Linked DNA regions of Sus scrofa. The protein of the gene in region 2 purifies or fractionates together with the protein of the main gene of each other region. This does not show direct contact. Links are inferred from orthologs where the notes say so. Each region holds a gene or a part of one and is shown on either strand. Other genes may lie near its edges.

Region 1 (4,720 bases), on a different chromosome or scaffold from region 2:
TGGAAACCTCCCATGATTGACAATCCTAACTACCAGGTTTGTACCTCTTAATGGTTGAGTTGCTTCATTGATCTCTGTGTTCAGATACAAGCTTTGTCTGTAGTGAGGCTGCCAGTTTGATCACTATATTCAAACTGTTGTATTAAAAACAAAGTAAACTTCAAAACTGAGAGGGAACTTAATGTGTTAATTATTAAAAAGATAAACCTGGAAGCTGGAAGGAAGAGCATTCCTAATTGCTTTTTATGTTTAGAAACAAAAAGAAACAAAAAATGGGAAACTTGTGATTTGGTTACCCTGCTCCTGTGTGGCAGGGGTGCGGTAGCCACAGAATTCAAATTGGCAATGTCTTGTGATGGGGTGGGTAGAGGACTGTGATGGGAGTTGGCTTCCTGACCACAAGTCAGCTTATTACTTGACCTCAGTATTTTCCACTGTAAAAAGACTGTGAGGCTCAAATGAGATGATAAGAATAAAGGTGGTGATATTATAAAGCTTCGAGTTTACTATAGACATAACCACTCAGACCCTGGTCTCACTTCTGTTTCTAGTCAGGTTATTTAAAATCATTAATTTCTACTTTGTTACATTTTCAAATGTGCGGTATAGGTCTGCATCTCTCTGTATAAACTGTATATTTTTCTGTTTTTAAATGTGTTTTTAATTGAGCCATTAATGAGAAATTAAAAATTGCCTTTTAGCTGCTTTGTCTATGGCCATTTTGGTGAATTGCCATTTTTGCTTTTAGTCCTTACTTACTTAAGTGATTTTTCTTCTGAATGTATGTGGTAACTATTTCTTTAGGAAGTTAGCTGAAGTGAAATAATCTGGTTGAAGATGGTGTACCTTTTAAATCATCCCTGAAGAAGTCTGTACTGACTCCTGCCAGCAGTTGATAAGAGTAGAGGCTTTTGGGAGTTCCCTTTTGTGGCACAGCAGAAACGAATCTGACCAGGAAACATGAGGTTGCAGGTTCGATCCCTGGCCTCACTCAGTGGGTTATGGATCCGGCGTTGCTGTGGCTGTGGTATAGGTTGTAGGTACGGCTTGGATCTGGCGTGGCTGTGGCTGTGGCGTAGGACGGCAGCTACAGCTCCGATTAGACCCCTAGCCTGGGAATCTCCATATGCCACAGGTGTGTCCCTAAAAAGAAAAAAAAAAAGAATACACGCTGTTGGAATGTGCCAGGCAGAGGAAGCTTGTTGGTTTGAATCACAATCATGGGTGATAATTAGAAATTAAAAGGAGTTGGAGTCTAGACCTGAATTTATGTTGATCATTATCTTTTCTCTAGGGGATTTGGAAACCCCGGAAAATACCAAATCCAGATTTCTTTGAAGATTTGGAACCTTTCAAAATGACTCCTTTTAGTGCTATTGGTTTAGAACTGTGGTCTATGACCTCGGACATTTTTTTTGACAATTTCATCATTTGTGGTGATCGAAGAGTGGTTGATGATTGGGCCAATGATGGATGGGGTCTGAAGAAGGCTGCCGATGGGGCTGCTGAGGTTTGTACTTTCTTGTTTCTTGTACATTTATATCTTTTATTACAGGTAACTAACTGCTGCTGTTGTGAAAAGCCGTCTTCTAAAATTTGTCTTTTCTCTTATTTGGGAATATTGGCATAGAAAGTGTGTGACCTCTGTGTGCTCAAGACAAAATACTGGGTGTTTGGATATGGTTTCATTAGGCGAATGTAATGGCTTTAGAGTCCATATTTGTGTTACTTACAGTGTATTTTTTAAGAAATAGTGTTAAGACATATATATAACAAAATTTGCCATTTAGGGTATATTTTGAGGCATTTTTAACTATTGAATCTTGGAGTTCCCATTGTGGCTCAGCAGTAATGAACCCGACTAGTGTCCGTGAGGATGTGGGTTTGATCCCTGGCCTTTCTTAATGGGTTAAGAATCTAGCATTGCCATGAGCTGCAGTATAGATTGTAGCTCAGATCCTGTGTGGCTGTGGCTGTGGTGTAGGCTGGCAGCTATAGCTCTGATTGTACCCCTAGCCTGGGAACCTCCATATGCCGCAGGTAAATACTGAATCTTGATTTACCCATAAATGGAGTTTTTAAGGAATTTGTCATATGGCCAAGCTGGGAATTGGAGAGATAGAGACATTGAGATCAAGAAATTCTTGATTCGTCGGAGTTCCCATCGTGGAGCAGTGGTTAACGAATCCGACTAGGAACCATGAGTTTGCGAGTTCCATCCCTGGCCTTGCTCAGTGGGTTAAGGATCTGGCGTTGCTGTGAGCTGTGGTGTAGGTCGCAGACTCGGCTTAGATCCTGCGCTGCTGTGGCTCTGGCGTAGGCTGGGAACCTCCATATGCCGCGGGAGCCATCCTAGAAAAGGCAAAAAGACAAAAAAAGAAAAAAGAGAAAAGAAATTCTTTGTTCGTTGATCCCTGAGGTTAAGGGAACCTTTGCAGGTGATTAAGAAGCCAGCTTTCACACCTAGGAAAGGAAAGTTACCTTGATGATAAGGAGAGCAGGAAAATTAAGGCTTTTCTCTTCTTTCCTTTTTCATCTGTATAAACAGCTAGGCTTGAATGAATCCTTTGAAACAGCAGGTGCCTGAGTAGTGCCTTGCAGTAATTGAACAGTGGAACAGTACAGCCACAGCCTGTGTTTGGTGTTAAAGGTCAGAAGGTGAAATCAGTCCTGTCTTGTTTTTCAGCCAGGTGTGGTGGGGCAGATGATTGAGGCAGCCGAGGAGCGCCCATGGCTCTGGGTGGTTTATATTTTGACTGTGGCATTACCTGTGTTTCTTGTCATCCTCTTCTGCTGTTCTGGAAAGGTATGAGTTGTTGGTTTGTTTTGTTTTTTATTTTGATTCACTTTTAGTCACTCTTATAAATTGCCTGAAATTTTCTTTGTAGCAGCTCAGTAGTGACTGGGCCACATACTGTGTTGACTTCTGAAACCTGTTCACTACTCTTAGTGGCTATTTAATGTTCCCAGGTGGGAATAGGATTTGTTAGCTCCTAGTAGAAGCCCCTAGTAGTTTCTAGTAGTATAGCCCACTGTGTTACTCTCCTTTATATTTGGCGGCAGCTTTCTAAAAGAAAAGAAGAAACCAACTTAGATATAAAACCTAGCCATCTGGGCACAGACTAGCTTTTCCTTCTGTCATAGTTATTTCTATTCATGTACTTTATATTTCAGTCTTTGATTCCTCATTATCCATTCCTTCCTCAGTATCCCTACCTTCCCTCCTGGAAAAACACATGTTAGGGGTATTCCACAGCCTTATTGTAGGTTTTTCTTGTTTAGCCTTTGATATTTAAAAATTTAGGGAGTTCCCGTCGTGGCGCAGTGGTTAACGAATCCGACTAGGAACTATGAGGTTGCAGGTTCATCCCTGCCCTTGCTCAGTGGGTTAACGATCCGGCGTTGCCGTGAGCTGTGGTGTAGGTTGCAGACGCAGCTCGGATCCCGCGTTGCTGTGGCTCTGGCGTAAGCCGGTGGCTACAGCTCCGATTCAACCCCTAGCCTAGGAACCTCCATATGCTGCGGGAGCGGCCCAAGAAATAGCAAAAAGACCAAAAAAAAAAAAAAAAATTAAAAAACAGGAGTTCCCACAGTGGCGCAGTGGGATGGCAGGCTTTCTGCAGTACTGGGAGGCAGGTTTGATCTCCAACCCAGCACAATGGGTTAAGGATCCAGCATTGCTGTGGCTCGAATCTGATCCCTGGCCCAGGAACTCCATATGCTGCAGTGTGGCCTAAAAAGAAAAAAAAAAATTGCAAAATAAAAAACAAAATTTTGTGTAGGCCCTCTACTTCTACTAAATGAGAATTATGCTTTACCTTGCATTCAAGATGTTTTGTAACCTGATCCCCAATCTTCCTTTCCAGCCTTATCCCCCACCATTATTCTGCATATCTGTGCCTCAGTCACCTTGATTAATAATGAGACCTGCACATTATTGTCTGAACCCTTTGCTCATACTGTTTCTTTTACCTTGAACCACACACATGCTTACTGAGAGGAAGCTGTGAGGCAGGAATTCAGTCTTAACTCATTTCTGTGTATCTACCCCAGCATATATGCTGGGTACAGAACTTTGCTCATAAGCATTCAATAATTATGTGGTAATGTAATCTATAAAATGTGAACAAAACTATAGTGCTTTGGGGGCATATTTCAGAAACAGGCCAGTCCTGTGGAGTATAAGAAGACTGATGCTCCTCAACCAGATGTGAAGGAGGAAGAAGAAGAAAAGGAAGAAGAGAAGGAAAAGGGAGATGAGGAGGAGGAAGGTGAAGAGAAACTTGGTAAGAAGTAGACCCCAAGATGTTTCAAAGCTGTTTATGCCAATTATTGGCAAGGTTATTTTAGACTCTAGAGGTATGTTCTAATGCTAATTTTGGGCTACTAAAAACAAGTGTAAGGTTTTGCTCATTTGTTTTACTTTGACTTATGTCTTAGAAGAGAAGCAAAAAAGCGATGCTGAAGAAGATGGTGGCACTGTCAGTCAGGAGGAGGAAGATAGGAAACCGAAAGCAGAGGTAATCCGGGGGGAGAGTATATTTTGTATTTCAAGCAACTCAAGTGAAGCTACATTTAAGTAGAGAGTATTTTCATAGGGTAATTTTTAGTGGCTGTGGCAATAAAAATTCTGTTACAGCCAATTTTGTAAAAGTGGAATTCTTAGCAACACAAGTCAGCATTTTATAATTTCTAATTACATCTTAATCTCAGAAGTATT
Region 2 (5,311 bases):
TGGGGGTTATTATAAAGCATTTTAAATGTGTGTGATTTACTTTTCCAGACCAGCTGCTCAGGTCGAAAGTGAACACCTGCTCCTTTGAGATGCTAGGCTTGGTGGCAGTCAACTGACCCCCCCCCCCCAGTCCTGGAGAGGACAGCAGCCATCTAGTTGCTTCTTGTTCATCTGATGCATTGTGCAGTCTCTGAGCTGCAGCTCATCAGGCTTACTGTACAGTTAGGGGGCTTATCTTTTGATCTCCTTTGTCCACAGAAATATGTTCTTTTATATAGGCATGCTGCTTTTACCTCCTCCCAGGGCCCTCCCTCTAAAAAGATGAAGGCTTTCTTTGGCACAGAGCTGCTTTGACTGTGACATTGATCCCAAGAGACAGTGGAGAGAGGTGACACGGTAAACAAACTGAACTATCTGGGCTTGCTCCTATAGTTCCTTTTTGATGATTTGGGCCAGGACCACTAGGGGTTTGAACTAGATTTAGTAAGGTGCAGGCTCTTGGGGTTTGGCAGGAAGCAGTCAGGGAGTATGCTGCAAAGAGAATACAAAGCACCCTCCCCCTTTCCCTGGCCTGCCCTTTTTTTTTTTTTTTTTTTTGGTTTGCTTGTTAGGCAACAAGATGTCCCTTTTAGCCAAAGGTGCCAAGCTGAGTCTCAGAAGCCAATAAAAATGTCTGTGGGTAAGGGACAGTTTTTTCCCTCATCAGTGGATCACCACAGCCACTGTTAAAAGACAATCTCTGAAGTTCACTAATGGAGTTACCAGAAAGGTCTATTGCTTTTGTTTGAACGAAGATAAAGTGTATTTACATGATTTCTAGTGCAGTTAAATTAAAAGCATTTTCTAAACGAACCTAGAAAGGTGTTAAAGCGAGAGGGCCCATGAAATAGGTCACTCACTTGTAGCTTAGGTGGCAGCAGGAAGAACTTCAGACACAGGAACACAGTGTAACCCTTCAGTTTTGAAACGTTGCTAGGTCTTCCCGTGCTATAAATGATCAAAGAAACATCTGGGTAAATATTGCTCCTAAAGCTTAGCTGGCTTTAAGGAGTGTTGGGTCTGACTTCCGTTAGTTCAAGGAAACAAGCATCCAGGGACTCTTAATTTGGGGTCTTCGTTCTTGGACAGAGTCATTAACACACCAAAATATTACGTGCAGGTGTCCCAGCTGCAGGAACTTCCAACAAAGGCAGAGCTTTCGCTGATGCCTCTTAGGAACAGTAGCCAGCAACTTGCCAGGCCTGGGGGACTGGGCGGGGAGGTGGTGAAGGGTTGGAGGTAGCCCTTCCCCTCTAGATGCCCATTCGCTTGGCAGGGTGGAGATCCTGGGGGTGGGGGCCTGGCTGGTCGGCTCTAAATGTAAATAGGAAGCCACGCAACTGAGCCAGAAATAGTTACGAACTGACAGTCTCCGTCTCTGGCGAATACTTGGTCCGAGTGTCTGAATATACGAAAGGGAGGAGGCTCGCCGCCTGGGTCAATCTGCACAACCAGGTGAAAGACCCGCAGGGGGCTGGATGAGGGGCTCAGAGCAAAGACTCAGGGGAGGAAAGGCCAGAAGAACTACGGACACTACCTTGGAGGGATGGGGAGGCCTCAGTTACCGCCTTTGGAAACGATCTCCCCTGGCCTAAACATATTAAAACCGTTTCCGCCATTACAAGCCGACACCAGACGGGAGGCGGGAGCGCGCTCCCTTTGTCCCGCCTCCCGGGCGGACAGCCCATGGGGCGGAGGGAGCGTGCTCCGGAGGGGGCGCGCCGCAGCAGCGCGTACGTGGTCCGTGTGGAAACTGGCGCCCGCGGCGGCGGCGTTCCGCGGGCGGAGAGGAAGGGGGAGGCGAGAAGGCTGCGCACCGCCCGCTCTTCCCCACCCCCGCCCCCCGCCTCGGCCCTAAAAGGGGCTGGATGGGCAAGTTGGGCGCGATGGCTCGAGCCCGGGCAGCGGCAGCTGCGGCTGGAGGCGGCGGCACGTCCTCCTCGCCCCGGCGCCGGCGGTGATCGGAGCGAGCGGCCGCGGCCCCCGATGAGACTGTTCGTGGGCTGGCTGTGCCTGAGCCTGGCGTCCGTGTGGCTGGCGAGGAGGATGTGGACGCTGCGGAGCCCTCTCACCCGCTCCCTGTACGTGAACATGACGAGCGGCCCGGGCGGGCCGGCGGCGGCCGCGGGTGGCAGGAAGGACAACCACCAGGTACGCGGCCGAACCCGGGCCCGGCGGGGCGGGGGCGTGGCGGCCGGCCTTCCCGCGCTCGGCCGGGCTATTGTGCCGGGCGTCGTGGCGAAGGGGCCCCCGGGCCTCGCCCCAGCGCCCCACAAAGTTTCCCCCGCGTCTTCCCCGCCGGACGCCGGGTCCAGGCCCAGCGGTGCCTTTTGTTCCGCGGCGCGGCGGACGACGGCCTCCCGGGTCCCTCCCCCGCCCAGGCATGGGCGCCCCGGAACCCCACATTGTTCCCGGGTCCCGGGCAGTGATTGCAGGCGCTCGGCCACCTCGGCGTCGGCTCCCCGGAGCGGGACCGAGGAACTTTCGGGCCAGCGCGTGGTGACGGGGACCCACCTGGCACCGGGGCCTGAGATCTAAATAACCGGATCAAACCCATTACCCCGGACGGCCTTCATTACCCCTGAGAATCCAACCGAAAAGCCGGTCCCTCTTTTTGTCTGGTTGAATCTCTGAACGTACAAAGGGTCATAAAGAAATGTAACCGTGCGTCGTGAGCCATTTAACTCTCTGGCTCCTTCGGGTGACATTTTCCCTCTGCCTTTAAAAAAATGCGTTTGACAGGTCGTCGTCACTCTTGTCCTATGGAACCTTCCCTAAGGGAGATCTCCTTTAAACTTGGGTGTTGGTGTCTGACTGGCGAGATGCGATAGGAACGAAGATGGTGCGAGCATTTACTAGAAGGGTTTTGTTAAAAGAGAACTGGGCAAGAGTGTTTTTGTTTTTTGTTTTTTTTTAATGAGTTATGGTTCTGGATCGTGGAATGATGCGATGTGGCCGGCTGGGTAGTCTTCATTAGCTTAGGTTTGTGCCACTGAAGCCTGTGGAGGTCCTATCTGACCATAATGTCGTTTGCGGTTAACATTTCATTCATTGAAAAGAGGCTTTTGAACTCTGCCAGAGTGTTGGCATATCATAGCCAACATTTATAGTACATGTTGGCTTCTCAGAGAGCAGTAGCTAATTATTCCATCTTGTGTCTCATCATTTTCATAGCTTTCTCGTTTTCCTGTGTTACTTTTCTTAATATACCAGGTGTTCAGAGAGCAACACCCAGGTTGTTTTGATGTGTTTTCATGAAACTAGAGAATGATCTTAGGAGACAGAGCAATTCATTCAGAAAAATAGTATCTAGTTTTTATTTATTAAATATTTATGGTGGCTCTTTTTCTATTTTTAAAGGAAAACATACTTTTTTTTTCTTCTTCTTTTGTAATCCCACAGCTCTTGTACTTTGTTAGGTAATCACTCCTATGATATTGTTCGGAGTGTCCTTAAAGTTAGTAGGTGATCTTAACTTGTAAAACCACATTCTTGGCTATAGAGTAATTAGTCATTTTTAGAGTTGGGCTATACTGACACTGTAGTTAACCAAAATGTCCCATATCCATAAGGAACATGGATAATGGTGTAAAATAATAAATAGAAATGTCATTTCCAACAGTCGATGGACCTAAGGTTCTGGGTAGGATGAAAAGAAGACCTTTCCATTGATATGGAATTACGGTCAAATCTTTTGGCTGTAGGCGTTTATTACAACACTTGTGATTATCTCTATTGCAGTACACCTGATACTTTCAGTGCTCAAAAAAGAAATGGACTAATTTAAAAACTGAGAAACTAAGGAACCTGATTTTTGTGGATCCTAGGTAGAATTATAGCTGTTGACATAGCCTCAGAATATCCTCTAACAGATGATACTTTTTTTGTTTGTTTTTAAAGTTTTACTGAAGTATAGTTGATTTACAAGGTAGTGATAATTTCTGCTATACAACAGAATGATTCAGTTATACATATACACACATCCATTCTGTTTCAGATTCTTTTTCCACATAGGTGATCACAGAATATTGGGTAGAGTTCCCTATGCTATACAGCAGGTCCCTGTCGGCCAATCATTCCGTGTACCTCAGTACATGGAATATGTATATGGCATTGGCATGTAATTGGCATATGCCAGTCCCCCACCCCCAGTCCATCCCTCCTTTCCCACTACTTGTCCCCTTTGGTAACCATTAGTTTTTCAAAGTCTGTGACTCTTTCGCAAATAAGTTCATTTGTATCTTTTTGTTTTGTTTTGTTTTGTTTTTTAGGTTCCGCATATAAGTGATATCATCTGATGTTTGTAGAGGATACTTTGTAATTGTGTATCTTTTTAAAGCGGAATCTGTCAGCTTCTAAGGAATACTAATACTGCTTGCAGATACCTCATTTACTTCCTTATGCTTCTAAGATATTCAAATGTGTGTATGTTTTAACCAGTTGCACTTCATTATTTAGCAGCTAATTTCTCCAAAGTGAAAACTAATCTGGTGCTTTCTGAATATTGGGAGGTGGTGGGGGACATTGGCCTTTTTCCTTCGAATAATCAACCCAGACATTGTTTTGCGTTGATATGTTCACATTATGGCAGTGTTGTCCATGAATAAAGATGAGAATGAACAGAAGAAATGTGTATAGGAACCACAGTGAGAGACAATGGAATCGACAGTTCTGTCTGCATCATGGATGAGTTGATGGTTTGTTATCAGCTCTGTATTCCAGGATTCCGCTTTGCTTTATCAACTTTGTAGCTTGTGAAAAAACTTAACTCTAACGCTTTCCCCCTTCAAATTAGTAGTTTATACAAGGTCTGCTGGTGTTCATCTGGCTGTGTGGTTTCCATAGCTAGCCACATCTGGTTCTTTTGGAGCTGCATGAAAGTAGGGTTATGGTTTTGATTGAACCATACTTAGCATGAGGTTTTCTTATGGTTATTTGATTAAGAAATTATGGTGGTGGATTCTATGCTTAAAAAGAGAGCTCTCAGGCCATGTTTATTCATTAAAAATAGCTATTTAGTTACAATAGCCTGGAGAGGCAAGACTCCTTTGAGCTAAAGCAACTTTAAAACATAGTCTGCAGCACCATTTTAATAACTTGGTTTGGTGTGCCAGTTTCAAAGCTAGGATTATGTTTCACTTTGGGAAAGGGGGAAGCAAGGAAGGGCTTCTCTCAGAGCAGGGATATGGCTTGCATGTTGAATTGAGCTCACACGCTCTTTTTTGCACAGACTGTGAGATAAGAATAGTTTTATACTTTTATTCATTTACTT

What was found. Proteins that work in one complex are often made in the same cells at the same time.
Region 1: the proteins of METTL9 (region 2) and CANX purify together in Homo sapiens (co-immunoprecipitation; 3 studies listed by BioGRID and IntAct, with this or other methods). This does not show direct contact. The link is inferred for Sus scrofa from reciprocal best matches to the Homo sapiens genes METTL9 and CANX.

What each region holds. Positions count from the first base shown.
Region 1 is NC_010444.4:78,884,484-78,889,203, reverse strand, and holds part of CANX (calnexin), read left to right. Parts: coding exon 1-36; intron 37-1,294; coding exon 1,295-1,510; intron 1,511-2,686; coding exon 2,687-2,806; intron 2,807-4,159; coding exon 4,160-4,286; intron 4,287-4,440; coding exon 4,441-4,520; intron 4,521-4,720. UniProt on the Homo sapiens protein: Calcium-binding protein that interacts with newly synthesized monoglucosylated glycoproteins in the endoplasmic reticulum. It may act in assisting protein assembly and/or in the retention within the ER of unassembled protein subunits.
Region 2 is NC_010445.4:23,716,684-23,721,994, reverse strand, and holds the start of METTL9 (methyltransferase-like protein 9 precursor), read left to right. Parts: upstream 1-1,841; 5' UTR 1,842-2,025; coding exon 2,026-2,190; intron 2,191-5,311. UniProt on the Homo sapiens protein: Protein-histidine N-methyltransferase that specifically catalyzes 1-methylhistidine (pros-methylhistidine) methylation of target proteins.